Linked DNA regions of Mus musculus. The protein of the gene in region 5 purifies or fractionates together with the protein of the main gene of each other region. This does not show direct contact. Links are inferred from orthologs where the notes say so. Each region holds a gene or a part of one and is shown on either strand. Other genes may lie near its edges.

The links.
Region 1: the proteins of Utrn (region 5) and Mark2 purify together in Homo sapiens (affinity purification with mass spectrometry; 4 studies listed by BioGRID and IntAct, with this or other methods). This does not show direct contact. The link is inferred for Mus musculus from reciprocal best matches to the Homo sapiens genes UTRN and MARK2.
Region 2: the proteins of Utrn (region 5) and Dtna purify together in Homo sapiens (affinity purification with mass spectrometry; 3 studies listed by BioGRID and IntAct, with this or other methods). This does not show direct contact. The link is inferred for Mus musculus from reciprocal best matches to the Homo sapiens genes UTRN and DTNA.
Region 3: the proteins of Utrn (region 5) and Dtnb purify together in Homo sapiens (affinity purification with mass spectrometry; 3 studies listed by BioGRID and IntAct, with this or other methods). This does not show direct contact. The link is inferred for Mus musculus from reciprocal best matches to the Homo sapiens genes UTRN and DTNB.
Region 4: the proteins of Utrn (region 5) and Sntb1 purify together in Homo sapiens (affinity purification with mass spectrometry; 3 studies listed by BioGRID and IntAct, with this or other methods). This does not show direct contact. The link is inferred for Mus musculus from reciprocal best matches to the Homo sapiens genes UTRN and SNTB1.

The regions. Positions count from the first base shown.
Region 1 is NC_000085.6:7,338,169-7,344,524, reverse strand, and holds the start of Mark2 (serine/threonine-protein kinase MARK2), read left to right. Parts: upstream 1-2,664; 5' UTR 2,665-3,303; coding exon 3,304-3,357; intron 3,358-6,356. UniProt on the Homo sapiens protein: Serine/threonine-protein kinase. Involved in cell polarity and microtubule dynamics regulation. Phosphorylates CRTC2/TORC2, DCX, HDAC7, KIF13B, MAP2, MAP4 and RAB11FIP2. Phosphorylates the microtubule-associated protein MAPT/TAU.
Region 2 is NC_000084.6:23,596,139-23,601,873, reverse strand, and holds part of Dtna (dystrobrevin alpha), read right to left. Parts: intron 4,441-5,735; coding exon 4,316-4,440; intron 1,472-4,315; coding exon of another isoform or gene 1,463-1,471; intron 1-1,462. UniProt on the Homo sapiens protein: May be involved in the formation and stability of synapses as well as being involved in the clustering of nicotinic acetylcholine receptors.
Region 3 is NC_000078.6:3,569,789-3,576,257, reverse strand, and holds the start of Dtnb (dystrobrevin beta), read right to left. Parts: upstream 3,868-6,469; 5' UTR 3,611-3,867; exon of another isoform or gene 3,349-3,610; intron 3,275-3,348; exon of another isoform or gene 3,026-3,274; intron 1-3,025.
Region 4 is NC_000081.6:55,902,587-55,908,847, forward strand, and holds the start of Sntb1 (beta-1-syntrophin), read right to left. Parts: upstream 4,364-6,261; 5' UTR 4,006-4,363; coding exon 3,438-4,005; intron 1-3,437. UniProt on the Homo sapiens protein: Adapter protein that binds to and probably organizes the subcellular localization of a variety of membrane proteins. May link various receptors to the actin cytoskeleton and the dystrophin glycoprotein complex.
Region 5 is NC_000076.6:12,661,346-12,667,080, reverse strand, and holds part of Utrn (utrophin), read left to right. Parts: intron 1-244; coding exon 245-382; intron 383-1,942; coding exon 1,943-2,134; intron 2,135-3,542; coding exon 3,543-3,715; intron 3,716-5,735.

The DNA.
Region 1 (6,356 bases), on a different chromosome or scaffold from region 5:
CACTATGTAGAGCAGGCTGACCTTGAACCAACAGAAATCCACCTCCATCTGCCTCCAAGTGCTAGGATTAAAAGCATGCCACCTTGCCCTGCTGGGGAATGTGTTTTACATTTTAGTTTTAGTTTTTAAACCTTTTTTATTTTTAGAGTTTTACCTGCTAGCCTGCATACCCACTATGCACATGTAGTGTTCATGGAGGCCAGAAGAGCTTTGTGAGCCCCCATGGGACCAAACCCATGTCCTCTGAAAGAGCAGCAAGCTTGGAACTACTGAGCCACCTCACCATCTACTTGTCTTTGTGGTTTGGTTTGGTTTTAGAGATGGGTGTTTACTGTGTAGCCCTGCTTGTCCTGGAACTCATTATGTAGGCCAGGCTGGCCTCGAACCATCTTTTCTTCTGCCTTTGTTTCTCTCTCTCTCTCTCTCTCTCTTTTAAAAAAGATTTTATTTATTTATTTATTTATTTATTTATTTATTTATTTATTTATTATATGTAAGCACACTGTAGCTATCTTCAGACACTCCAGAAGAGGGCATCATCTTGTTATGGATGGTTGTGAGCCACCATGTGGTTGCTGGGATTTGAACTCTGGACCTTCAGAAGAGCAGTCGGTGCTCTTACCCACTGAGCCATCTCGCCAACCCCCTTTGCTTCTCTCTAGTGCTAAGATTACAGGGGCAGACCACCATACCCAGCTGGAGGAATCCTTTTTGGTTGTCTGTTTTATTTTATTTTATTTTTCGTTCTAGAGATTGACCCCAGGGCCTCCTTCATGGCATGGGAGTTAAAGCTCTCCCACTATCCTACAACCCCAGGAATCCTTATCGTCAACAAGTGCCTATTCTTTTGCCATGAGTTTGTCTTAGAAGGGAGATTTGAAATGAAAATGAAAATGAAAATGAAATGGTCTCTCCAAGCCGGGCGTAGTGGCGCACGCCTTTAATCCCAGCACTTGGGGGGCAGAGGCAGGCGGATTTCTGAGTTCAAGGCCAGCCTGGTCTACAAAGTGAGCTCTAGGACAGCCAGGGCTACACAGAGAAACCCTGTTTCAAAAAACCAAAAAAAAAAAAAAGAGATGGTCTCTCCAGACTTAAACATTGTAGAATATTTTAAAAGTCATTTAGGGCTGGGCATGGCAGTGCACACTTGCAATCAAAGTGGTGAGGAAATGAAGGCCGGGGATCAGTAGTTCAACCATCCTTGGTTACATATCATGGCCAGCCTGGGCTACTTAATACCCTGTTTCCAAAAAAAGCAAAAACAAAAGAACAACAAAAACTTGGATGGACAGGGTGGTTGGTGCACACCTTTAATCCCAGCCCTTGGGAAGCAGAGGCAGCTCCAGGAGTTCTTGGTCAGTCTGGTCTACAGTGGGAAACTGTGTCATAGAATCGAAACTAACAGCAGAAAGGAAATGTTATGTGTAATTTAAAGAAATATTTATTTGTATGTGCCTATGTTTGTGCTTTTATGGGTTTATGTGTATCACTGGCATGCGGGTGCTGGTAGAGGCCAGAGGGCATCATTTCCCCTGGAATTGAAGTTACAAGGGGTAGGGAGCCATCTGATGTGGATGCTGGGACCTGACCAGATTCTCTGGAAAATAGTACAGGCTCTGAATGAGCCAGCATTCTGACCTATGTTGTAGTATTTATCTATTTAACTTTTGTGTATATGAGTGTTTAGCCTGTATGTACGTCTGTGCAACCTAGTGGAAGCCAGAAGGTGTCAAACCACCTAGAACTAGTTAGACAGTTGTTAACCACCATATGGGTGCTGGGTACTAAACCTCAGTCCTCTGGGAGAGCAACCAGTCCTTCCTCTTGACTTCTGAACCATCTCTCCAACTCATTTTATATATATACATATACATACATATGTATATATATTATACACACACACATATATACATATATAATTACATTTTTATTTAGTGTATAGGGTAGCATGCTCATGGAACAATGTTTTAGACTTGGTTCTCCCCTTTCACTATGTGGATCCCCATGGATCAAACTGAGTTATTTTGCTGGCCTTTGTTATGTGATTCCATGCCAAGATCACGCAAGCATTTTTCTCAATACTGAAAAAAATACTGTACCTTAAAGGTGTGTTAAGTTTCAAGGACGCTGACCCAGTGCCTGTCCGACCTGGTGTCTGTCCCAGGCTTTACAGAGGAATGAGGGGACTGACTCAATATAAGGCTGACATAGACTTCTAGAAGCCAAGATAGTCGCAAGATGGGCGGGTGTGCAAAGCAGGAGACAGGCAATAGGATGACACTACACTTGGCAGTTGACTCACACGTTGATAGCAAGGTTGAGCGATAAAGTGGGTTTTATGAGCTAAACATGCGGATGGGAAGTTGGCGTTAGGCTCAAAGGACATCAGTTGTAGGAACAGCTAATAGCGGTATTTTCTAAGTCAAACAACAGGTACAGGTGACCCACGCCTGTTCAAGGTTTGAAAATAACCGAAAACTGACGGAAAGAAACGAAGAGATAGATTCTTAGCCTCGGCAGCTCTCGGGTGTTGCCGGAAATGGCTGACTACCGCTCTCGGCCGAGCGACGGAACGGGGGCGTGGCCGGTTTAGCACACGCGGAGCCTCTTCGGCTGTTTCCGGAAACTGCCGAAAGCTTGCTCCAAGTGGGCGGAGAAAGGCCGGTAGGCGTGGCTGCTGGTTGGCTCTGGAGGTGCGGGGAGTCTCTTCGTGGATTTCCGTAAACAGAGCCGAACCTCGGTCTTCGGAATCTAGGAGGTGCGCGCGTCCCCGGGGATTACCTTCTTCGGTAGTTTCCGGAATTCACCCATCGTCTGGGCCGAGAGGAAAAGGCTCTTCCCCCTCCCGTTCCTAGTTGTTTCGGATGTTTCCGGCTCTTGCCGGCGGAAAGAGCCGAGGGCTGGCGGTGGTGGCGGCCATGTTGGGAGCAGCAGGTCCGGCGGCGGCTGCCTGTGTGTCGGGCGCGGAGCAGTGCGGCTGAGGGCAGGGGAGGAGCGAGGCAGGCGGCCGGCTGCGGCGGTTGAGAGTAGGCGGAGCGGCGCGGCCGGGCCGAAAGGCGGCACAACCCAGCCGGGGGTCGGGGGGGGGGGTGCGGTCCGGAGCCGCTCGGAGCCGGCGAGGCCTAGCCCGAGCGGTGCATCACCGGGCTGGCGTGAGCCATCGCCCGGCCTCCCCGCACCCCCGGCCGGGGCCCATGCAGCGGGTGCTCCTGCTGTGAGAAGCCCCGCCCGGCCGGGCTCCTAGCCTTCCCTTCCCTATCTTCCTCCAAGCTTCTCCATTCCCTCCCCTGAGATACCGGCGCCATGTCCAGCGCTCGGACCCCCCTACCCACGCTGAACGAAAGGGACACGGAGCAGGTAAGGAGCCCTCAGGGCTCCCCTAATTCTGTGACTGGGCCCCTGCACCTTACGGAGGCTCCCTCCCTCAGTTCTCCTCGTGCTCCTGCTTTCTTCTACAAGCCTAGGCTGTCATCTGGCCCTGGGTTCCAGCCCTTCACATCCCTCTTCCGAATCCTGACCTGGGACCCACGTCGTCCTGACTGAACTGCACACTTGTATTTCTGCCAAACGCCCCTCGCCTCTCACCGCCCTCCTGCGCTCTTCCGTGCTATCTCCCCAGCTTCCCCCTCTCTTCCCTTTTCTCTCAGGGGCCTTTCTGGTCTTCCTCCACCCACGCTTAAAGCAGCCACCTTCCTGCTCCTCGAATAATACCCCGCGATTTGCCGCGGATTGTTGCCCACCTCTTTCTGCATCTCTCTAGCTTTGTACCCTCTCTACCCGCACCGGCTCTCACAATCCTCGGTTTTCTCCCTCAAGAGTCCGTGTCTCGGGAGTGTGTTCTCGGTCCCTTTCCCCTTTCACTTCCCCAGCTTTTTCTATCCTCCTTTCCCGTTCCAAATTGGGCTCTCCCTGTTGCTTGCAACCCACCAGCTCCACCCTCGTCACCTTTCCAAATCGTTCGCCTACTCCTTGCTCATCACTTTCCCTTCTTTTCGGCAGGAGCTCCCAGGCTCCTGGCACTGGCATGTGTCGCTTCCGTGTTTCCCATACAGCTGTCATGCGCATAGTTTTCCCACAGGTTGCCTTTGGGGTTCCAGTCACCGCTCCCTTCAGAGTCTTTGGATCACTCCTGTTCTCTTCCCCCTGGGGTTTGGCATTTAAGTCCTTGGGCCTCCTGTCTGAATGCTCTTCCAGATTATCCCTGGGCTCTCCTCTACCGTGGGAAAGTCAGTGTTTTAGTCTGGCTGTATTAACATAACCTGTTGCTCACTCTTTTGCGGGCTGCATCAGCTGCATCAGTCCCTACTTTACTGCCTACTTACACTGCAACACAAATTCCGATACTGTCTTTCCAAACTGGTGGCTGTCACTTCTCATAGTATCATAGTATCTTTCTTGTTTGCTACTTCCTATTGCTCAACCTTCCCCCATCTCTCTTACAATACCTCCTTAATCAGTGCTGCCTTTCCTGTCCTAATGGGTCTCCTCCTCCCCTCCCAGTCTGTTTACAGCTTGTATGCTCTGTCCATTCCCTTTCTCTTAGCTAGCCTTTGCGGGTCCCAGGGTGTATGCTAACTGCTTATGCTGCGCACCAGCTCCTGGGCTGGCCTATGCTCTCCCTTTCTCATCCTGGCAATCACTGCTTTTTGTCACCCAAGCTTTTGCCTTTTCTGTGTCGTCCTCTCACCTATGAGCCATTGCTTCCACTTCACACTTCTCTCCTTTGTTTCACTGTCTCTAGTGTCCCTCTCTGCCTGCCTTTTGGACAGTCCCTTGCCTGTCACATGTTTCTGGGTGAATTTTACTAAACACAAACTCGTTGGAAAGGAGCAGGCTTTACTCAGCACACCCTGGTGTTTCCCTCCTGTTCCCTGTTTTCTCTGTAGCCAGGTAGGCTCGCGATGCTGCTGTGTTTGCTTAGCATCAACTTCCTTCTTTGAGAACCCTCTTTATCTCTTTCCTGTGCTTTGCTGCTGTTACTCTCCTGCTGTCTGTACCTGGAGCTAAAGAAGCATCCGGACAGTTTTCTGACACGATGGACCCATAACACATAGGGGCTGTGTGCTCTTGGGCCAGAGCAGGGGGTTGAGAGGGAGGGATGGTTGATTGATTTCATGCCTGGTCTGGCAGCTAGTCCTGCCTGGGACAGAGATCTTCAGAAACTGAGGAGCTTGGTCTGTGTTGCACAGTCCCTTGCTTGCCAGCAGTGTCTCTTGGGAAACACTTTGTCCAGGCTCTTCTGAGGCTGGTCCGTGCATCCTCCTTTCTCCTACTTCTCGCAGTAGCTAGACCTCAGTTAACTGGAGAACTTTCCCAGACTTGGTTATGAGCAGGGAGAAGGAGGCCAAGTGACTGACTGGTACTTTCAGGCATGTGGGGCGTGGTTGACCTGCCTGTTCCCCAGAGAGGCAGGCTGTGGAGGCACCGTGTTGGGCAGAGTGGCCTCGGTGTGGTTTCTTTGACTGTTTACTAAGTGTAAATGCACTATTGGTCTTCTGTGTGCTCAGATGTGCTCCACACAGTATTGGGTCATGAAGTTGAGGTTTGATGCATGTACACTGATTTCAGGAGAGTGGTAATCAGTGGCCAGTTTGGCACGTGAGCTGCTTCGTGATAACTTGGTCCAGAGCAGAGGCTGCCTTGTCATTCTGCTCCTCTTAGGCTCCATTTCTGTTCTTGGTGGACCGAGCTGCATGCAGTCAGTTCCTGATTCTCCACTCACACTGTCAGCTTCATGTTCTGCCACCGCCTTCGAAAAAACTTGGACTTGGAAAAGCTAGGTGCACACCCTTCCAGGTGCCTAGCTGTTTCTCTTTGTTTCTTGTGCTGCTGATTTGCTCAGAGCCTTGTTCTTGATAGACACGTTATACTCCCCAGCCCAACCCTGTGTGCTTTAGAAACAAAAACAAAAAGCAAGAGTCAGTTCAACATCCACCTTCTTCAGAGTAGACCCGGCTACCAGGTTGAAACTAAATACCTTCTCCTCAGTCCCATTGCACATAGTGAAGCCATTGTGGAAGCTCAGTCATTGCAGTCACCTCAGTGTTAGGAAATAAAAAGCAAAGAATTTGGCTGGGCAGGTCCCTCTCCACCGTCACCTTATTTAGATTTAAATTAGTTAAGCTGGTTTTACCAGAGAATAAGTAAGCAAACTTCTGTGGATGTTTCCAATCTCTTCCTTTTCTCCTTCTTTCTTTAAAATTGTGGCTGATAAGCTGTTTCTAGGAGCTCTTTGATCACTTCTGAAACACACAGAACATGTTGAAGCATAAAAATAAACCTTATGTTGCAGAAGATTGCCTGTTTGCTGTCAACTCTGCTTTTAACAGTGAAAGTAGATAAAAGAAAGCCAAGCT
Region 2 (5,735 bases), on a different chromosome or scaffold from region 5:
AACACAAAAGGTAAAGGATATAATGGGGCATCATTCATTGAGAGAGGAAATTATCTATCTATCTATCTATCTATCTATCTATCTATCTATCTATCTATCTATCTATCTATCTATCTATCCATCTATCTATTGAGATGGGCTCTTGTGTAGCCCAGGCTAGCCTCAAACTCACTATACTACTGAGAATGACCTTAAATTTCTGATTCTCCTACATTCAGCTCCTGCAGGATGGGATCACTTGTGGTGCTGAGAATCCATCTTGGCTTTGTGCATGCTAGGCAAGCACTCTACTGACAGAGTTGCATTTCAAGCTTCAAGAGGAAATTTTAGTTTTAGTATAATTCTACATTTACATTTACATATTCTAAATTGACAGTATAGAATATTTTGGAGATGAGACATTAGTTGCAGTAGTCTAAAGAGTTGATTTGCAGTTAGCTAATGTAAATGCATACATTAACCCAAATTAGTTTTGGATTTTTGCCTTTAGCAGCAAAGAGTAGACTTGTTCATCCTGTCTGATGTGATATACTGAAGATTTGAAAATCAGCACTGGCTGTGAAAATTCACTGAAGCTTCTTCTTGGTATCTGGAGCCATACTACATTCTAAAAGTTTGTGTGGCACATTGCTTCTTGTATGAAGTCATACATCATATTTAATATGCCACTCTGGATATATCAACCAGGGTTCAGCAAACAATCTCAGAGTTTTGGATTACTCACCCAGGATGCATCTTTGTAACAAGGGAACAACATAAGAGTGCTTTAATGTGAATAACTTAATTTTACAGGAGGGACGATCATTGCATTTAATGTCCTCTATAATTAGGAAGGCACATTAGATTTAAAACAGCAGTCAGGGTGAATGATGTACACTGCAGCTTTGCAAAAAGTTAAAATTGACCCCACAGTTCTTGCTTTACTTTGACAAAAGGAAAAAAAAAGAACTTTTCCCATTTTTGTTTTATATCTAGGAGATGGAAGGCAAATGGATTGAGAACGCCTTTCAACTAGCCTGGCTGATTTTCTTTTCTGAAACTGGTCACCACAAAACTAAAATTGGAGCTTCTTAGCAAATTGTTTCCGATTAAGAGGTACCAATCAATGCATTGAACTTGGAGCAAAATATGGAAGATTTGAGAGTAAGTAAAGTTCCTGCCTCCCTCTATCACTTTCCTTAGTACCACATGGGAGATGGTAAAGTGTTAATAAAATGAAACAACCCCACATGAACAATGGCTCTCAGAGGCAACATGCAAAGATTTTTTTTCCTGTATGAATCTTAACAGAGAACGTATAAAAACCTATCATTGACTTTCTCCTCATAGGTACAAAGGTTAAGCTGAAGGCAAGATTAGCTACCAAGTAGCCTTATGTGGTCCACTCATTTTCAGTCTCGTAACTACTTACCATTGGGATTGCTAATTTATGTAAGTATGTGTGGGGGTGTTCATCACTTACCAAGTATCACTTTTGGCAGCAAGGAAGTGGAACAGAAGAGATACTGTTAATCACGACAACATTTACGAGTACAGGATAGTTAAGCACACAGGCTGAAATACCAAAATGCCACTGCCTGCTCATCTCCACTTAAGAGCTAACTCATAACTGACAGTGTCATTTCTCTACACGTACATAAAATCCCCCGACTCTTGAAGGCAAGAGCATTTCTCTTTAATGTTTCATTTCTATATGCAAGTATGATTGTGCCTGTACTTGAGTTAGCAGTACCACAACCTAATTTGTTGTTGTTCTTTCTTGAGACAGGGTCTCACTATGTAACCCCAGCTAGACTGGAACTTGCTACATAGTCCAGGCTGACCTCAAACTCATAGAGATCTACCAGCCTCTGCCTCCTGTGTGCTACCCCACCTGGCTGTTTAAATGCTCCATTGACCCAATCTCTCTTTACTCTAAAGCTTCTTGAGAAATGTTTAGTTAGTTACACAGCCATATCACCCTCATATTTTTTTGCCATTTTTCCATAGCAGGAAGTTGGACCTTTAAATAGCCTTAATGAAAATATTTTCTAATTAATTTGCTCTGTATGTCTAAGCATAAGCCATGAGTTTTTGCCTCACTTTATACTTGCAGACCTTATAATGACTTCTCTTTGCTCATGACTGGATACAACTTTTAGGAAAGTAACACCAGGTTTTAACACAAGCATGGCAAGATGTGCCCTGAAGAGGACAGTATTACATTCCAAACACGTGGGCTTGCTAGCACAGACATGTTCCACAGCACACAAGTGCGTGCAATTAGCTTCTCATAAATATTCACTGCTGTGATTTTTTTCCTAAATAGTAACTTTGAAAATTTGATAGTAATTTATAAATTAATATACTTTTCAAACTAAAAAAATTAACGAATGCTTTATTTTGCGTTTGTGCCGTAATTCTCAATTCTTCAACCTCTAGGACACTCAGTGCACTCACACAACAACTAGTAACACTCCTAATCCATACTTGCTGCCTCCTACCTGCCTCTGCCTGTGAGCTTATTATGTGCATCGGTGGTGCACTGGAATATTTATATATTGGCAAATGTATGTAAACACATGTCCAAACACTGAAAAGATGAGGTTTGTACCACAGTTAATAAAATAATTTTAAAATTTCTTCAGTATGTTTTTTTCCAGAGAATAAAAAGTAACAACAAAGATCATCCATGCTCCTTATGTTTTTGTTCTATGGCCATAGTCCTCCTTCTGCTTTTTAAAAAGATATTTTATTAATAATTTTTATTTTGTAGGCATGGGTGTTTGCCTACATGTATGTAAGTGTCCACATGCATTCTTGGTGCCCGGGTTAGCCTGAAGTGGTAATTGTGTGTCCCCTGGAGTTGAGTTATCTACGGACAGTTGTGAGCTGCTGGGTATGTACTGGAGCGAAACTTGGTCCTCTTAGGGCAGTCAGTTCTCTTAACTGCTGTGTCACCTCTCCAGCCTTGGAGTTTTCTGTTTTAAGTCACATTCGGAAATAACACATCGAGAGCATTAAGTGTGCAGGGAGGTAATAGTGTCCCCTATTTATTAAAGTGTTCATTCTCTTACTTTCATTGTATAGTGCTTGATAAAAGACTTGTGATGAAAGAACCTGCTACTAAATGTCATATATTTTATAAAGCACATTAAAATAATATACAGACACATATATACACATACACACATATACACACATACACATAATATACATACACACAAATACACACATGAATATACACAAAACCACACATGTACACATACACACATTTACATACATACATATTCATACACATACACACTAATACACACAAACCTACACATATACACATACATGTACACACATACACACACAGATGTAAATACATACACATACACGCTAATATACACATACATATAAAGACATACACATATGTACACATACATACACATACATATACACACTAATACACACATGCATATACACATACATATCAATACACATATATGTATACACACAGACACACAGACACATACAGACACACAGACACACACAGAGTCCCAAGTGCTGACTGTACTAGGCCCTGGGCTGGGAAAGTTTGAGGGGACTCCTGTGACTCACCCCTCTGTGGCAGCACCCTCCTCACTCTGCTCTACTGCAGTAGTGATTGGAAAGTGAGTCTCAGCAGAATTCACACAGCATACACTTGCTTGACCTTGTACTCTATCCTGGGCAACTTGAATTTTGTGCCTCTTTGGTGATGCCAAGGGCAAGTGTAGACTTTAGCTAACAACTCCTGTGTGGTATCACTATAAGCAGTTGTGCCCCTGGGATACTACCCTGATGATGTACTTCTGGTTTACTTATCAGAGCATGGTTTGAAAAACAAAGAAGTTAAAAAGTAAGTTAACCACATTCTATAGAGTGGCTTACATATTGGTTTTGTGGGTGTTTGGCCTATATCAGCACTATCTTGCTTTTATACTTAGAGATATTTAAGCTTACGAGTGTGTGTGTGTGTGCGCGTGCGCGTGTCCCCCCCCCCCCCGCCTCTGTGTGCACATGTGTGTATGGGATGAAACTAGAAGGGGAGTTATTTGGGGTGAAGGGGACCAGCAAGAAGGGAAAGAGGTATAGAGGAAGGTCAAGGGGGTTGGATATGAACAAACAGTAATGATATAAATGTGAGGTTTACAATGAACCTCATTTCTTTATATGCTAACTACAAAAAACGTAAAAGAGTAAATAAAACTTGGTCCCTGACAAATTATGTGAACTTGTCTTGGTAGGAAGGCTCCAGACATGTGTAAGTGAAGGACATCACATCTTAGTCTGTGCCAGAGATACTCACACGATGTGAGCCAAGTTGAGTGGCTTTTCAGGCTGGTCTGGGAACATGGGGTGCAAAGGTTCACGGCTTGAAGCACAGCTCAGGGACTTGCTTAATGCATTCGTTAGCTTCTTAGCAGGTGATTTCTAGAAAGAGAATAATAACAACCTTGATTATATACTTTAACAGATAACTTTAAATTGTTTACTAATAGCTGCATATTTATTTGCTCATTTCTTGATCCATTTCATTTATTGATAACTCTGTTTTGAGCACCTGCCTTCCAAGTCAGGAAGTTTGTGAGAGGCTGTGACTGCATGCTGGAAAAAGCCACCAGGGTACCCATCCCTTGCTGCAGAGTCCCCGCAAATGCTATGCTGAATGGAAGCACTCATTGTGTGGGGAAATGTGTTGAGGTTTAGGGGACCACTAGAACTTTCTGGAACAATCTCAAGGGATAAGAGGAATGAGCTGAGAATCCATTTGAGAGAAGGAAGGTAGGAGGCAACCAAATTGGGTAGATAGATGTTTGTGCATGTCTCCTCAGGAAGTCACACAGCATTTGTGTATGTAAAAATAGTTATTGGGCTGGAAAGATGGCTCAGAGTTTAAGAGTACTGACTGCTCTTCCAGAGGTCCTGAGTTTAATTCCCAGCAACCACATGGTGGCTCACAACCATCTGTAATGGGATCTGATGCCCTCTTCTGGTGTGTCTGAAGACAGCTAGAGTGTACTCATATAAATGAAATAAATAAATCTTTCTAAAAAAATTATCAAGTTACTCTTTACACAAAGCCTCCATGTAACTTATACAACTTTGCATTCTTGTGATTGAACCAATTTAAGTACTTCAGTTGTCCTGGCAGATGGGACAGCTAACAGCAGCTAATCCAGGCTCTAAGAAATAACTGTAGGAGACAGCATGAGACGTGAACTTGGCATTTAATTGAGGTAGATGACAAAACGGTGAGCCATACAAACAGTAAGTGACTCCTCTGCAGAGCAAGCCCCATGGACTACTGTCACATGAGCGCACGCAGGTCACTTTGCCAAGTCAACTACTCACACTATGAAAAGATGGTTTTAAAACTACAAATTTCCCTTGCCACTCCCTGAAAAAAAATCTGAAACTGAACCAGGTGTGGTTGAGCATAATTGTCATAATCCTGTCTAGTACTACACTAGAAAAAAATTAGGAATCTTAGAAAAAAAGTAGAGTATTTAAAAAAAAAAACAATATACATAGAAACAAAACGAAGTGAAACATAGCAAAATGTGGACTTTACAGTAAAGTAAGCTGGATGCAGGACTGCCTGCCTCTCTGTTTGTTAGGTCAGCTCTGACCTGCCTATTATATCCTGAGAAGAATCAAAGTTTGGTTCTTCCAGTATTTTAAGTCTCAGGAAGTCACACTAAACTCAGATACAAACAGTAAGAGGT
Region 3 (6,469 bases), on a different chromosome or scaffold from region 5:
AGGACAACAAGAATCCTCCTGTCTGTCCTGTCCTGGGAAAGCACTGTGCTACAGAGCTGGACATGGTCTGCAAGCAGAGGCAGAGTAACTACCACAGCACGCAGACTAGAGCAGAGCGAGAGACAGAGCATCTGAGCACTCGCAGTAAGTGTGAAAAGAGCCATCAGTCACATCAAAGCATTCAGGTATGGGCTAGGAAGCTGGCTCAGCACTTGCCTTGCGGACACCAAGATCTGAATTCACGAACCATGTTTTTTAAAAATGCTTGGGGCTGGATGGAGAAAGTGCAGTAGGGTAAAGCAGTGGTCATACAGTGTGAGAATTGGGATTTGGATATTTGAAATGGCCCTTACAGGTTAGCTAAATCAGCAAACTCTGGATTCAGGTGAGAGACCTGCTTGCAGTAAGGCAGAGAAGAACTCAAGGAAGACACCACACATCGGTCTCTGGCTTCCACATATAAACATACACACCACACATACATAAGCAAAGAGATAAGTAAATTAATAACCCAGGCTTGGTGACAAACTGTTATACTCTCAGCCCTGAGAAGGCAGAGACAGGTAGTTCTTCAGTGCTCTCAAGCCAGGCAGACCAGCCAAATCTGCCAACCTGAAGCCAGTAAGAGAAGCTAGCTCAGAAACCAAGGTGTGTGGTGCCCCAGGAACAACATCCCAGGTTGTCCTCTCGCCTCCACATGCACTAGCACACACAAGCAGAGACACAGGCACACAAAGCACTCTGGAAAGCCATGTGCAAATACACAGTCTCCTGAAAAATCAATCAGACTTCCGTGACTAATACAGTCAATTACACCTTTAATTAAAAACAAAAACAAACCTAACTCCCTTGCTCATTTCAGGAAAATCCTCAAATACCCTTCCTCCAATTCTTATTCTTTTTTTTTTAAAGATTTATTATTTTATGTAAATACACTGTAGCTGTCTTCAGACACACCAGAAGGCATCAGATGTCATTATGGATGGTTGTAAGCTACCATGTGGTTGCTGTGATTTGAACTCACGGCCTTCAGAAGAGCAGTCAGTGCTCTTAACCACTGAGCCATCTCTCCAGCCCTCCAATTCTTATTCTTTTCTCTTTCAGATTAAAAGAAGTGCCAGAGAAAATAAACTTTTTTTTTTTTTGTCTTTTGAGGGTTTTTCCGTGTAGCTCTGGCTGTCCTGGAACTCACTTTGTAGACCAGGCTGGCCTCGAACACAGAAATTCACCTGCCTCTGCCTCCCTAGTACTGGGATTAAAGGCTTGTGCCACCACTGCCCTAGATATCTTCTTGTAACAAATCTAAAAGCATTCTCTGGGTTCCATTAAAAACCATTCAGAGCCAGGCAGTGGTGGCACTGTGAAGTAATGAACTCGCTTCTGCCTCCCAGGGGCTGAGATGGAAAGACATGCGCCGCCACACCCACAATATGTACCATTTTATAAACACCCAGCTCAACATGCAAAATCTACCCATCTCATCCTATGTAAACTACACATCAAGACAGCACAGTAGTGCACACCTGTAATTCCAGGGCACATAGATAGGAGGATAGACAAGTTCAAAGTTAGTCAGAATGACACAGAGAGACCCTATCAAAAAAAAAAAAAAAAGGAAAAAGACAAAAGACGAAAGAAAAGGTTTGTTTTAATCAGGTATGGTGGTTCACAGAAGGGACTAATAGAAGGATAGCCATAAGTTCAAAGCCAGCTTACAACCTGGGCTACAGTATATCGAGTACCAAGCCAGCTGGAGCTATTCAGCAAGAGCCTATTTAAAAAAAAAAAAACCGGGGACAGAGGGTTTATTTTCAAATAAATGTAAATTAAATATCTAAATAAAATGTTAGAAGTGCCTGAAACAAGGCACCCTAAAACAAAACCTAATCGAAACTTAATGATTATACTCTGAAGTACAGAGTAATTAAAATAAAATAAATGAAGGCTTATTATACATGCAATGACAAGTCTGGATTAATATTGCTCTCATTTTTTATATGAGGAGTCAGTTATGTTAACATCCAAGACATGAAATAAATGATAAACGGAAATCCTCTGCACGCTAATACTTTAAGTAGAAATTCTGTCTCCTGGGCAAAATTCAGTGAACATAAAGACTCTGCCAGCACCACCTTGACTGCACAACCCCTTCAGAGGTAGCTCCACTTAAGTCTGCTAAAAATCCTCAGAGAACACATAAAAGGTCAAGTTTTACTTTGGCAAGCAAAGTAATCCAACAGGCACTGCAAGCGAGGGAAAGGAAGCAGCAGCCTGGGACTGGAGAGTCCAGGCAAGGTGGAGGACAGAAGTCCAGCCCTTACAGAACTAAAGAGACAGAAAGAAGCATTCTCTCCCTTCAGAACCAAGATCCGAGAGGCAGGACAGAAATTATAAAGTGTTCTCTAAGCAAAAGCACCCTCCCATCCTCCTCAAACGACCAGAAAAAAGCCAAAGAGAGAAAAGACCAGAGCACCACCCAGAGATTAAGCTCCTGGTGCACAACATGCAAGAACCACGTGGATGAAGAAGAGTGGCCACAGGCCACCGGAGTCTGCCACCTAAGCCACTGTTTTAACCTACCAGTGCCTGGGTTACCTGAAGAGGCAAAAAGAGAATCCGAGGACCAAAGGAAGTCCAGCGATCATCCCTAACTCTACAGAGACTGACACTCAAGCCCCTGCTTCCTCCATCCATTCTGCAGTGGGCATCCACTGTAGGGCTGCTGGGATCCAGGCCACATCCGGAGGACTGAACAGAAAACAGGCACGGAGCTTAATTCTAGCTGGGAAGGCAAGATTCTTCTTCCAGATTTCTTCTCCCCCTCCCCACCCCTCTTTTAAATGTCAGTAAGATCCTTCAAATCTCTTCTCAATAGTTCCCACCAGCTTTCCTCAACTATCTTACTTTCTCCACAAACCAAGCAACTTACGGCTCCAGTTTCCCAGGGCTGGGAAAATCCTAAAGGGACCTGAAGTGAACAGAACAGGAAACATGAAATAGAGCACTTTACATTTTGTGTGCATACTTTCACAGCCGAACTGTCAGCACTTCAACAGCAAAAGATGGCTGAGAGTGATAAAGTCGTGACCCAGGCGCTGACCGCGGTTCTCTCCTGCTCCGTAGCTAATCAATAAACGCTTGCAGAGAATGCTGGAAGGTCTCCCTGATTCCCTAAGGCCTGGCACAGAAATTTAACAGCAAGCATTCGTCAGCTGCATCCTCCCTCTTCTCCGGACACTGTGCCCAACAGGGGTGACCTGGGTGGACAGGTTCGTCTACCGGGAGCCTCGGGGGACACTGAGAGGTGATCTGGAATGAATTCCCTTCCCTCTGCCAGGGCCTGCCTACCTCACCTGCCCTCTGCCAGGACCTGCCGCCTTCGCCCCCTTCAGCACCTAACGCGGAGCCTCCTCCCCGCCAGCCGGGCTCAGGATGCATCAGCAGCGCGCGCAGCCCGGCTCTGCGCTCCGCGGGCCCCCGCGCGCGCGGGTGACCGGAGAGCCCTCCCCGGCCCGGCGTGCTGTCTCCCAAGGGTCGCCGCTCCAGGGCCGCGCACTCCGCCACCCCGCAGCCCTCCTTCTCGCTCCTCCAGCCCCGGCGGACTCCCCACCTGGCTCGCTTCCCGGCCGGAGCTGAGGGGCCGTCGCGTGGCTCTCCGGCGGCCGCAGCCTCCTCCAACCCGGCCCCCTCGGCTGAGGCGGCTGAAGCAGCAAGCAGCGACTGAGGCGGCGGCGCCCACTCAGGCCCCGGAGCCGCCCCCGCGGCGAACGGAACGGCGCCGGCTCGCGCCGCTTCCCCGCCCGGCACGCGCAGCGAGCCCGCCCCCGGCGCGAGGGCGCGAGGGCGCGAGGGCGAGGGCGGGTGCGCGCGGAGGGCGGGCGCGCGGAGGGGCGGGGCTTCCGCCGCGAGAGGGGGCGGGGAGGCGGCCGAGTGCCCTCCCGCGGGTTCGCGCGCCCCCTCCGGGCCTCTGCTGTGCGCCGGCCGCGGAGGTGGAGGTGGACTTGCCCTTCCACTCCACAGGTAGCTGCCGGGCGGCTGCGTGCTGCGCCGACGTGACTGCACCTTAAGGAATGCGAAGAAACACCCGGTGAATCATTGCCTCGAGCGCGGGTCCTCCCCCGAGTGACTTTCCACATTGCCTCAGCAGGCTCGCTGAGCCCTGACTCCGCGCCTGGTGCCCGATGGACACGATCCGGGTCACGGCCCCTGGTCCCCAAGAATGCATAACTTAGGGAGAAGAGCAGCCTTGCGAAGGACCGAGTCTGGTCCCCTGCGCAAAGCCAAGCCACAGCCGGATGCGGTGAGAGGATGAAGGAGAGACATTACTTTCCGCTTAGTTGTTCAGTAGTTCCTAAAAGTGGGACTATTTAGACATTAAACAGCTTGAGCAACGGAGCAGGGGCGACAAAGCTTCATTTATTTATCTAGCATCTATTTATTTATTTATTCATTACCAACTCTTTTTTTTTTTTTTTTGGTTTTGGTTTTTCGAGACAGGGTTTCTCTGTGTAGCCCTGACTGTCCTGGAACTCACTTTGTAGACCAGGCTGGCCTCGAACTCAGAAATCCGCCTGACTCTGCCTCCCTAGTGCTGGGATTAAAGGCGTGCGCCACTACCCCCCCCCCCCCCCCCCGCTTCATATCATTTTTTTAAAGGACTTTATTTTATGTGTATGAGTGTTTGGGCTGCAATGTGTGTGCACCCTGTGAGTGCCACCCCGAGGCCAGAAGAGTGTGAAATGACACCTGGATGCTGGGGAATCAAACCCAGGTCCTCTGATAACATAGCAAGTGCTCTTAACTACTTAGCTATCTCTCCAGCCCCTCATATTGCCATTTTTTATAGAAGCTTTTCCAAACTCTCTAGGGACATCAAAGTCTTCTTTTAATGGCTCAAAAGATAAATGTTTTCCCTCAACTTTAAGACAGCGGCATGATCCATTAGACTTTTGGTGCGTGTGGATGTGCACATGTTAAGGAAAGCAGCAGTAGGCCTGTGTGCTTTAGGGATGCTTTTTGAAGCCTTCTGGCACCTTATGGAAAGGCAGATCATGCCACCTGCTTCAATCAGACTGGCAGCCTGCCTCTAGGACACCCTTTTCCTCCTCTTCTCACAATCTATTTTTAAATTCCCATGGTGAAGGCAGTGCTGTGCTGATAACTTAGAGTAAGTGAGGTTTTTTGTGTGAGAGGGGATACATTACTTTTCACACATGAATTGTGTGACTGTTTTGCATGTTTGGAAGAGTCTCACTGGTTGCTAGGTGGTGGCTGCTGTAACCATGTAAGGATCCTCAGACTATGTCAAGAGACCTTTAGTTTCTTACCATGTGTTGAGCTCCTACTATGGGGAAGGCATTGATGGGTAAAAACCTTGACTCTGTTGCAAAGAGGTAGAGTATGAAACTGAAGCTACAGGAACCAGCACGGTGCCTCAGACACCTGGAGCATTCAGAACCTGGAGGCAGGAGCTGAAGCAGAGACCCTGGAGGAACCGTGCTTACTCCATAGCCAGCTCAGTCAGATTTCTTCTGTGACTCAGGACCATCTGCCCAAGGACATCACAACCCACAGTAGGCTCAACCCTCCTACATCAATCATTAATGAAAAACAAAACACTTTTTTTTCCTACGGACTTCCTGCATGTCAATCTGAAGGAAACATTACTCAATTGAGTAATGTTTCTTCCCAAATGATTGTAATTTGTATCTAGTTGACAAAAAAAATTTAAAAAAATAGCCAGCACACCATACCTTGTCATCATATATTGCATACATGTATTGAAATATGCATGGTCATTTATAAATATGTACAGTTATTCCATTAATTAAAGATTTTGAAAATGTTTTAAGAAGATATAAATATTAGCCACCCTGATTGTTCACCACCTACTGTATATTCACATGTCAGATTATCCTATGGTACCCCATAAACATATACAATTAAAATAATTTTTGTGATATATGTGCAGATCTGTGTATAGTTAGCTACATATGTGTGTGCTGTATCTTATGCACATATGTGGGCATGTGTGTGGAAGCCAGAGGACAATGTCAGGAGCTATCCATCTTGGTTGCTTTTTTAAGACAAGTTCCCTCACTGGCCTGGGGCTTCTTGAGTATGCTAGGCTAGCCCAACAGCAACCCCCAGGATCCACCCATCTCTGTCTGACTCTGCAGCACTGAAATGACAAGTGTTCCCCAAATGAAACACAAGTACTCCTCACATGAAACACATGTGCTCCTCACACTCAGCTCTGTATTTATGCACTGGAGCTCAGACTCAGCCCCCATGCTTCACTGACAGCTGTCTTCTACAGGCCCCAGTTATAATCATCTTGAAAGACTGTTTTGTGTCTTGTAAAATGGCAATTTTCTTTTTTTTTTTTAAAGATTTATTTATTTTATGTATATGAGTACACTGTAGCTATCTTCAGACACACCAGAAGAGGGCATCAGACCCCATTACA
Region 4 (6,261 bases), on a different chromosome or scaffold from region 5:
GGAGTTGCCAAGCAGATGAAAACAGAGCCTGGCACAAGCAGAATGCTCAAGAAATGCTAGCTAAGTCTCTCTCTCCACGATATGGTTAACTCCCATGGCCTCTGAAGGGCTTGTCTTCCAGCGCTGGTGTTTTGATGCAGATAGACGGATAGACAGATGGATAGATAGTAGATAGATAGGTAGATAACTAGATAGATTATAAATAATAGATTATGGATGACAGATAGATATAGATGGGTAGATAGATGGTGATATCAGAAATTGAGAGTCAAAATAATTCCTTTTTCCAAGAAATTCTAATTAAGAAATAACAACTTCAATAAGTAGAGCAGATTACCCACTTTAAACAGGGCATTTCTTGTCAATTTTATTGAAGCTGAGTACCTGCATCCTTATATTCTTAGTGCGCAGTTGTACAAGGTCACCCTATGACGTAAAGAGGTGACCTTTTCCTTATTTGTACTTTGCAGAAGACACTGACATTGTGCTAGGTTATGAGAATGTAAAATGGTGTGGAGGTGGCTCTAACAAGTCTCCTCACTGGGAATCTTTGCTTTATGCTAAATGACAAAAGGGAGGGTTATGATGTTTGAGCTGATGGTATGTGACCACTCCCACATCAGTGAGGACCACAGAGGACAATAAACACTTGGTTTCAAATAAGAGACACTGAGTTTGGTGCCTGAGAATGAATTTTGGTGGTAGAATATTTGCCTAGAATGTGCAAATCATTAGGCAACATCTCTAGCTAGGTGAGGGTGTAAAGGTGAGAAGATGTGGTGAGAAGGCAGGATACTGTTTGAAGTCATACCTTCCTTCATAGCATCACTAACTAGCAGACAATAATTGAAAAGTTGGGCTAGGGATGCCCAGGTCTCCTCCAGATGTCCTTACTGCAAAGCATGATGCAGTGTTCTTTAGAATGTCTCTAGAGAGCTTTTTACAGAACTCATTTTCTGGTCACTCTTTAAGAAGTACATGACCCTTTCTCTCTCTCTCTCTCTCTCACACACACACACACACAAATACACACACATACACACATATATACACACATATATACACACACATACACATACATACATACATACACACACACATATATACATACACACATACACATACATATACATACACACATATACATACATACATGCTCTCTCACACACACACATATATGCATACACATACATACACACATATACACACATACATACATATACATACACACATATACATATATATATACATACACATGTATACATACACACATATACACACATATACTCATACATATACATACATATACATACACACATATACACATACACATATATACACATACATACATATACATATGTATATACACACACACATATATATATACACATACACACATACACACATATACACATACATACATACCATACATATACATATGTATACACACACACACACACACACATATATATATATATATATACATACATACACACACACATATATATATATATACACATACACACATACACACATATACACATACATACATACCATACATATACATATGTATACACACACATATATATATACATACATACACACACACACACACACACACACTCCTTTTTCTAAGATCATTTTCAACTCCAGGTTGTTTCTTAATGTCCTTGGCAAGTTATTATTCATTAAATTCATGAAATATTCAGAGACAGGAAGAAGGGATGTAGTAAAGGACATGCCTGAAGTAAAATATGATTATTTGTCACCCCTTCCATCTGCATTTTCAGTATTGATTACAAACTGAGCAGGCACCCAGAAGTTTATAGTCCAAGCTACACTCTCACAAGATCCCACCTGTCCCTTGTCACCCAAACCAACACATTCTTGATCAAGAATTTTTCTCCTCTTTACTTATGTTAATCATCAAGCCAAACCAAATAGCCTTCTAGGTTCTGGATTCGGGGGCAGTGAATTAAATATGAAGACATCACAAATCTTCTAGACAAATCAAAATAAAATAAAATTAAAAAAAAGAAAAGCCCCTTTGTGTTCCAGGTTAGGAGGCAGACACATATTGCCAGTAGTTTTCATCTGCTGTCACATGCCAAGCAAGTTGGCTTCCCAGAGTCACACATCAGCACGACAGTTGGGTGAACAGGGAACTGATTACATTTTAGTTTAAGGGCTTAAGTCAATCACCACCACGTTATAAAGTCTAGGTTGGAATAGTGTCTCAGTAGCTGAGTTAATTTACTCCCTCAACCTGCATGCATGTCACTGAGGGATACAAGCTCCGGAGAGCCCCCTATCCAAATAAAGGATCTCTGAACAACTCAATCTGTAGTTAGGAAGAAGCTGAGAAAAATCGATGAAATTATCACGCAGTGTGAGTGCCAGCCAAAGTGTGTACTAAGAGTTACAAAGACAGAAAACCAGAGCTGGGGCAAAGGAAACGCTCAGAGTCCCCCACCCCCACCCCCATATTGCCACATCCAAACTGGTACTTCCTAGTCTATACCCATTGGATGATTATAGAGTTGAAGACACCAGATTTTCAGAGAGCGTTTCGAAAGTTCTTCATATTCATGGGCAGGGAAATCTGTTTACAAATGCAGAGTGGATTTCACACTTCTCCAGGAGACACCAGCAGAAAAAAGAAAACACTTCACCAGCTCTCCACCCAGGGGAACCTGGAATCCGGACTGACCGGCTGAACACCCTGCAGTGGAAGTGAACTTGTGCCTACATTGGCAACATCTTTCCCAGCCTTTGGCACTACTCAAAGCTGCACAGCCTCATGGACTCTCTCTGGTGCTGGAGGGAAGGGAAGCAGGAACGGGTGGCTGAGTTTTAGCATTCAAATACTGCCACCTCTCTCTGGCTTTTATTTTTATTTATTTATTTATTTGTTTATTTATTTATTTATTTATTTATTACCTCTCAGGTCTTCACAGCTGGATTGCCTAGGCTGTGAAAATTTTTGCCAAAGTAGAAAAGTACTAGAGCTGCCTAGAGTCAGTGGCCCTGCTTTACAATGTGGGCAGATGCAAATTCCGTCCACTCTCCATTTCCCGGTCCATTTCCCAGACTCCAAATTACATTTGGATTGTCCGCAGATAAAAATATGAAACCACGTGTACCGATAAGTATGAAACTTCCGACACCAGTGCACTAAAGCACTTCATCCAAGCCAGGAAAACCCAGGCACTCCAGTGTTTTAGTACAGCGCCCTGGGTCAGGGCCAAAGTGAAGATGAGTTTGCCCCCAGGTAGTAAAAGTTGTCAAAAAAGAAAGTCGTGCCACTGCTTTTGCAAAACACAGGCACTGTGGGGTTCTAGGGCTTTGGGGCAAGTGGCTGGTGAGTGTGAGTGTGCTGACGCGCAGAAGAGTAAGTGGAACTGCGGGATAAGGCCGGCGCAGGGTTAACCCCTTACCTTCCAGCAGCACTTCCTTGCCTGCGCGCTTCAATGCCTGCACTGCCTCGTCGTGGGTGGCGTCCCGCAGGTCTGCTCCGTTCACCGACAGGATGGCATCGCCCACATACAGGGCTTGGGTCTGATCCGCTGCCAGCCCCTTGAAGATCTTGCTGATGAGTATGGGCATCTTGTTTTCCTTGCCCCCTTTGATGCTAATGCCCAGCCCGCCCAGCTCCTGCTTCAGCACCTTCACGCCCCTCTTCTGGTTTGAGATGGACTCAGGTACCTGCTCCGGGAGGTCGGTGAAGGCGGTGCGGACCCCGGCGGGAGAGTCCGGGGCTTGAGCGACACCGGGGACCGGGTGCCCGGTCCCGGAGCCCCTGCAGAACGAACCATTGGTGGCAGCCCCTATGCCGTTGTACGCCGCAGCGCCCTCCTCGCAGCTCAACACCAGGGCGTCCTCGCTCAAGTTCACCAGAACTTTATGCCAGCGATCCCGCACCAAAACTTCCAGCAGTCCGCTCCGCTGCGCCCGGGCGCCTCCACCGCCAGCCGGCGCAGCCACAGCCGCTGCCGCTACCGCCATCTTTCCAGCATTCTTAAAATGCCATGTGATTGCAAACGGGGGAAAAGTAGAGAAGGGGTGAGGATGGGAGGACTCAGGGTAACCGAGGCACGGAAGAAGCAGATGCCTGGCAGCGCGCGCTCAGACCCCGGACTCCACTCCCCGTGTTCGCGGCTGCGCCGGGCGCCAGTTGCAGCGGCGGAGCTTGTTCCCCCTCGCCTGATCCTGGGCGGGGTGGAGCAACCTAAAAGAAGACGGAGAGCCCTCGACAGGGGAGGAGGGAAAAAAGCCAGCTGCCAGTTGCAAAACCCCAAACCGAGAGGAGCCTAGGAGCTGCGGAGCGGCCAAGTGCTGTAGAGAATCGGTAGGAGGAGGCAAGGGCGGGGACCCGGAGCCCCAGCCGCTCACCTGTTCGCCACTGCAGCGTCACACTCCCACGTCGCGCTGGCTCAGACCCGGGTGCCTCAGTTCTCAGCCGCACCTTGCCGCAGCTCCCCCAAACCTACCGGGTCACAAACCACTACCCCAACCCCGCCGCCACCCCCTTTTCTTCTCAACCCTCTATTTTCGACGGGTTTCCACACTCACCTTTAGTAGGTGCGCTCACTCTATCCTCTTGAGTCAACTCCCCTCTCTCCTCCCGCAGGTGTTTGAAGATCCAAGTCTTCCTCAAACCAGACCTTCGCTGCCTCAACTCAGTCTCCCTCCACCCCCATCCCAGGACTCTGGGAAGGAAACTACAGAGAGAGAGAGAGAGAGAGAGAGAGAGAGAGAGAGAGAGAGAGAGAGGAGGGAGAGGGAGAGGGAGAGGGAGAGGGAGAGGGAGAGAGAGAGAGAGAGAGAGAGAGAGAGAGAGAGAGAGAGAGAGAGATCCTAGGCTGTGCCAGAAGTCAGGGGAAAACTGTCACAAGAACATAGAATGAAGCCTCATCAAGCCACGTACTCCTATCCTCTAAGTCAATGCAAGGCATCTTTTGGGGGAGTTTGAAGACAAGAGGGCTTTCTTTCAGTACCTACCCTGAATTTCAACGGGGCACTGTCTGCCTCATCTTCAGGACACAGTGTCTAACTCAGTGTCTGCTCTTTGCATTGCTCCATACTTCCCCCAACCCCATCCCCGTGCCAGCCCAAACGCTTCTCAGGGCTCCCTCCTTTGTTCTTAGATTCCATATAGGAAATGTCTTCTTTAAAAGCTAAGAATAGGTTTGTTCTCCAAGTTCCCTGAAAACTGCTTGTTTGGCTCTTAAGCTGCTCTGTCCCAAGGTGATGGCATTGTAACTCTTGGTTCCGTTCCTAGGCCAATCAGGAAATGCCACCTTAACTGTAACCCAAGCCATGGCTGAACATCCCAGAGTTCTGCTAAGCAGGTCCCACACAGTTCACTTAAACTGTGTTAAGACTTACTGGTCTTCCTGCTGTGCCCTCTCCTTTCTCCAGATGACAAAATAAAAAGCAGAATCTGTTAATTCTGGAAGGTGAAGCTCCTGATAAGATGCCAGTAGGAAGAGGGTCTTCTGTAACATGCATGTCATCACCCCACTGTGATGGGTATTTGCAGCAAACAGCTCTAGTTCTTTCCAGACTTACTTAATCAAGGATACTTAAAAACTCTCAGGAATCCCCGTGAAGTCCCTGACAGGGATTACAGAACTCAATGAAAATACTTGAGACTTTCTTGAGAAACTGAAGTCACTACAGCTCACACAGGGTGTGCCACTGTCCTGCTCCTGTAAGTTTTAACTTTCTATACTTCAAAAAAAAAAAAATCTTCATTTTTTTTTTCATGTAAACCTGCCCACAACAGGGACAGGAGCCCAGGAAGTTCTTCAGTCCTTCCTGTTGGACTGGGTTAGCCAGGGAACTAACACAGCTGGCACCACTGTTGGAAAGAAACCTGAGAGAGAGAGAGAGAGAGACAGAGAGAGAGAGAGACAGAGAGACACAGAGAGAGACAGAGAGAGAGAGAGACAGAGAAAAACAGAGAGAAACAGAGACAGAGACAGATGGAGAGAGACAGAGAGCAACAGAGAGAGAGAGAGACATACACAGAAACAGACACACACAGAGACAGAGACACACAGAGACAGAGACACACATACACACACAAACACACACAGAGACACAGAAACACACACAGAAACAGACAGAGACACAGTCACACACAGAAACACAGAGAGACAGAGACACACATACACACACACACAGGAGAGAGAGAGGGAGAGAGAGAGAGAGAGAGAGAGAGAGAGAGAGTCGGGAGGGGGGAGCTGGCCTTTGGTT
Region 5 (5,735 bases):
CACCCCCTCCTTCCTGACTAGCTGTAATCATTAGCTACGTTTTGATAAATTAGCTTTGGGATATTTGATTTTCCAATATAAAGTATTTGAAGAAAATCAAGAGCAGTTGTGTCATTCAGGCCGATGTGGCTTGACCCACACTGCCCTGTCTGTCTCAGCATAGTTCTTAACACTGAACAATGGAGAGTACGAAGTTTGTCTGTGTATTTTTGTTTTCAGTAATTTTCTTTCTTTAAATATTTAGATGGATGAGGAGCAAGCCCAGATTGAGGAAGTTCTACAAAGAGGGGAGCATTTGTTACATGAACCTATGGAGGACAGTAAGAAAGAAAAGATCCGCTTGCAGTTGTTACTTTTGCATACTCGTTACAACAAAATTAAGGTAGGTTGCTGTGGTCTCCGCAGCAAAGAAATAACTTACCCAGTTGTACCATCCAGGCTGGGGATGTAATATTTAAAGACACAAGCAATATTCAAGCAAATCACCTAGGGAAATTATATATTTCCCCCTCACTGTCTTTTTAAGTTTAAGTAATTACTGCTTATTTTTTGGAGTTAGGATTGGATCCTATTCCTGGTGTATATTATAGGTTATTTGGGAATTTCCCATCATGCACTCTGATCACACGCACTTCCCAGTCCTCCCATGTCTGCTCCCTTAAATGTAAAAAAAAAAAACAAACCAAAAACCAAAACAAAGACAAGGGGAGGAAGTGGGGGGGGGGAGAGAGGAAGAGAGGAAGAGAGGGGAGGGAAGGGGAGGAAAAAGACCCTCAGACCATTTTGTGTTAAACTTACTTGTGCATGGTCTAGTCCCAATGAGAAAGGGAAACTGAGTCCTTCCCCACCCTTGCCAGAAGCCATCAGTTGTGGAGAGCTACATTTCAGCATCCTTATCACAGCTTTCAAAACTTCTCTTTGATGGCTACCTTCTTAGGCTATTAATTTTTTAGGGGTAGGGTGGAGGTAGGGGTTGTCCCAGAAGCCTCGGTGTTCCTCTTTTTCAACTGTGCATCTGCAGACATTGAAAATACGGCAAGAGTAATATCCTTGTGGTGTTTTAAGTGATGCTGTTCCCCAGAGCTCTATTTTTTGGTAGTTCTTCCTGAAATGAGTTTTATTTGATCACTTCGGAATCTGAGTGGAGTCCTGTGCCTTGGCTTGCTGTCTACCAGCTGTCTCTGACTGCACGTGCCTTGTTGTACGATCCAATGGAAGTTGCCATTGGTGTCGTCCACTTTCCCCATTTCCCTTCTTAGTCTATCCTCTTAAAAAAATAGCCCGTCTGTGTAGATGGAGGAAACTTCATTACCATCCTCACCTATTTTCCTGTTCATTACAGGAAGCAGGACTTACAACGATTAGGCTTTGGACTGAGGATAGTGGTCTGGGAAGTGTGTGTCTCACACGTATGAGGACCTGAGCTGTCTTAGTTCAGTCTCCAGTCTCAGTTTATGTAAAAATGTTAAGCATGGTGGCACAGTGCTGTGATCCCAGTGCTGGAGTGGCAGACAGGAGGATCCCAGGGCTCTGTAGACCAAGCAGTCTCACCTAATTGGTGAGCTCTAGCCATGAGACCAATGAAAGACCCTTCCTCAGTGGGTGGGTGGTGGTCCTGAGGTTGCCTTTTGGCATGAAAGTGGCAGACTGCTGATGAAAGCTGAGGCAGCTTGTGGAGTTTCTGTAGCAATGAAGGTTAAAAGAAGAAAACTTATATTGAATGTTATTTTTATTAGCATTTATTAATTGTGTGATAATGGTTTCATTGTGACATTTTGTGCATGTACATAGTGTGTTTTGATCATAATCACCTGACTTGTGTTTCTTACAACTTTGGTTGACATTCTGGGATTCTTCAACCCCCCCACCCCCAATTTGTTGTTACTTTCATGGGGGGGGGTTAACATACCTGCATTAATATTTTTTTTGAATCTTTTAATAGACAATCCCTATCCAGCAGAGAAAAACAATTCCAGTTTCTTCTGGAATTACATCATCAGCCCTCCCTGCAGATTATTTGGTTGAAATTAATAAAATTTTACTCACTCTGGATGACATTGAATTATCACTTAATATGCCGGAGCTAAACACCACTGTCTACAAAGACTTCTCTTTCCAGGAAGACTCTCTGAAGGTAAAAATCCAAGTGCGGAATGTCCGTTGCCATTGTTAATAGAAAAAGTACAGAAACAAGGCCAATCTCCGGCTCTTCCTGTTTTGCCTTTTCCCTCCCCCTCTCTCCCTCCTCCCCTCCCTCCCTCTCTTCTTTCCTCCTACCCTCTCTCCTTCCCTCCCTCTTTCTCTCTTTCCTCCTCCGTTTTAACCTTTTCCCTCCTTCCCTCCCTTCTTTTCTTTTTTCCTTTCCCCTCATCTTTTTAAAGACAGGGCTTCCTTAGATAGTCCAGGCTAATTGGATGCTCACCCTCCTTTTCTTGCCTGTGGAGAGCTGAGATTACAGGCATGATTGCCGTGCTCAGATGGAAGTTGCTCTTGTACTTATTTAGATAATCCAAATCTTTGATTACTCCAAATTAGCAACAACAGTGTATAAATAGTGAGATTTTACTGTATTCCCTGGTAGGATGCAGCATTTTTTTTTTTCAATTTAAAAAGCATCTAGGTCTGGACTCTTATGAATGCACATTTATTTGCAACAGCAGAGATCTAATTTTAATCTGATGTAAACTCGATTGTCATTTGTGTCAAATGATGTCAGGTCATCCATATTGATTCGAGATTGGCTAGTTGCCCCGTTGTGGAATTGCGTATTGATTGCAAGTTAACATTTTGAGTTCTTTGAAAGTTTTTTCCCATGTATTTGATTGTACTTCTATATAAAGATGTCGTATTATTTCTGATAGATTCAATAATTTATTTTCTCATTTAAGCTACAGTGATTAGGCATTTAAAACTATAATTCTAGAAGTGTCTCCTTTTTTTTTTTTTCACCTACATAGTATGTTAGTAAAGCTACCTTTCCTGTATCCTGCCTTGAAGCCGGTCAGGACATCTAGGAGGGTGCCTTCCCATTCGCCATTGTGATGGTATTCCTCACATTTTGGTGACTCTGAGATTTTTATATAGAAAAGTCCATAAGAAAACCAACAGCGGCAACTAACCTGGACCCTTGGGGGCTCCCAGAGACCGAACCATCAAACAAAGAGCAAGCACAGGCTGGACCTACCCCCCACCCCCAAATGTTACAGATGTGCAGCTTGGTTTGACAATTGTCTGACCTCAGTGGGAGAAGATGCACCTAGTCCTGCAGTGACTTGATGTACCAGGGTGGGGGGATACCCAGGTGGGGCATCCCCCTTCTCAGAAAAGAATGGGAGTGGGATTGAGGAAAGTAGCCATGCAAGGGTCACCAGGAGGAGGGGTGAATGCAATTAGGATGTAAAGTGAAGAAATAAATTGAAAAAAATAGAATCCCCTCATTTGCACACAGAACAGTAATTAGCCCCACTATTACTTTAAATGAGTGTCATACATGTAACTCTTTATCTGTGGTTCTGGTGTTTTGTACAATGATGCGTTTGCAGAGTATCAAAGGTCAACTGGACAGACTTGGAGAGCAGATTGCAGTTGTTCACGAGAAGCAGCCGGATGTCATCGTGGAAGCCTCTGGCCCTGAGGCCATTCAGATCAGGGACATGCTCGCTCAGCTGAATGCAAAATGGGACCGAGTGAATAGAGTGTACAGTGATCGGAGAGGGTAGGTGTGAACTAAGTGAATAGTTATCTCTAAGTCACACGAGTACCAGGCCATGCAGCGTTGACAGAGTCCAAGTGTGCATTAGGATCATGGAAACCATTTTTCATGTATTTCTAATATGACATGATTAATAAATAGAGATGAGCTTCATTCCTTAAAGAGAAATGTGTCCACAGGCACACAGCCATTAAGCACATAATACCTTAATGATATGGGGGCACCTTTAGTTTTTAGCTTAAAAATAATTCTCCCTTTTAATTAGAAAGGATTTTATTAATGTTCCTTTCTCCCACACGGCATGATTAATGTGAATGAGGAACAGAAGCAGCTTCAGGTAATTGGAATTCATATATAACCACAGGCCCGTTCTTCCCGGTTTTTCTGCTCTATAACCTTCTGCTTCATAGGATGTTTCGGAGTTTTTTTTTTTTTTTTTCCTGTTGTTTTTAGACTTCGAACAGGGACCTGTGAATAGGAGTAAAGAAAAATGAGTGTGATCCCCCCCCCCCCCCCAGTAGCTGTGAATGTAGTTAAATGCAAATACAACATGAAATAGCCCAACAACAACAACAACAAAAATAACATGTAATGGAGAATTTACTATAGAGCAATACATTGCAAGTATTCAGATACGAAAGCAAGGAATCATATGGTTAAAATTTTTTTAATTCATGTGACTGTTTAATCAGTGAAGAAGTATGCCTTAATGATCTTTGTTGCTATGTAAATTTATAATATGGTCTCTTTGTGTAGTTAGTGAACATTCTTTTGTACATTTATATATATGTGTGTGTATATGTGTGTGTGTGTGTATTTTTGTTGTTGTTGTTTGTTTGTTTGTTAGAACTGGTATAGTAGTTACTTTCTTCATTGGTGACACAAATGTTGATCAAAGCACCTTAAAAAGGAAGGGTTGTTTTGGTTTATGGTTTCAGGACACACACTTCGCATAACAGGCAAGACATGATCACAGGAGAAGGAGGTTGGCTGGTCACATTTCATCAGCAATCAGGAAGTGTAGAGAGAACAGAAAGTAGGATAAAATAAAACCTGAAAGCCTCCACCAAGCTATGTGCTTCTTCCAGTGAGGCTCTGTCTTCTAAAGATTCTCCAAACAGCGCCACCTGCTGGTGACTATGTGTTCTAACACACGAGCCTATGGGTGACATTTCACATTCAAATCACAGCACTTGGTTATTACATGAAGACAATTAAAAAAGCAAGATGTTGAAACTCGATTTGTATTATAACATGAACTTGGCTACTGTACCCTGCCAGGGATATTTATAAACTCACCCTTCCTTTAGAAGCCTGGCTATTATTGGCAGGAATATTTCTCCAATATTACAGTGATAGCTTCATTGTTGTCTTTCTTTACTGTGCTCTCAATGGGACTTGAAGTTTCTTTGTGCCCAGTAATGGCTCATCTTTGAAACCAAGGGAGTAATACTTACTGTTTAAAATTGTTTTTCTAACTGGAAGATATTATTTATGTATATTTTTGTTTATTTGTGAGTATTTACAGCCTTTTGTATGTCACTCAAAATGGCCTGTACCCTTTGACGTAGAGCCAACTTAGTTTTATGAAATTATATCTTATAGTTGTTTCCTTTATGATTGTATACAGTTAACAAAACTTACATATCCATTCCTTACATTTGCTGTGTCTGAGGAAATAATAATGTATGGTTTGGAAACAATCTTAGTTGCTTGGTTTTGATTTTGGTATGACCTCTGTTCAGGGCCCAGCTCAGGAGCCTTTGTACCACAGCTTCAGTACCATGAGTCTGTGCATGCACCTCTACTTTCCAAAAACCCTTAAGCAACTTTTTGTGCATCTCTAGATAAATATTTACCAGCTCTAATTTGCCTCATTGTTCTTAAAGAAATGACCAATGTCTCCCCATAAGTTTTCATTGTCCTTATAGTTAGCAAAAAATGTCATAATTTAAAGTTATGTTATTGTGTATTAATTTAGTGGTGCTAATTATGCTTTGATGCACCATTCATTTTAACTAAA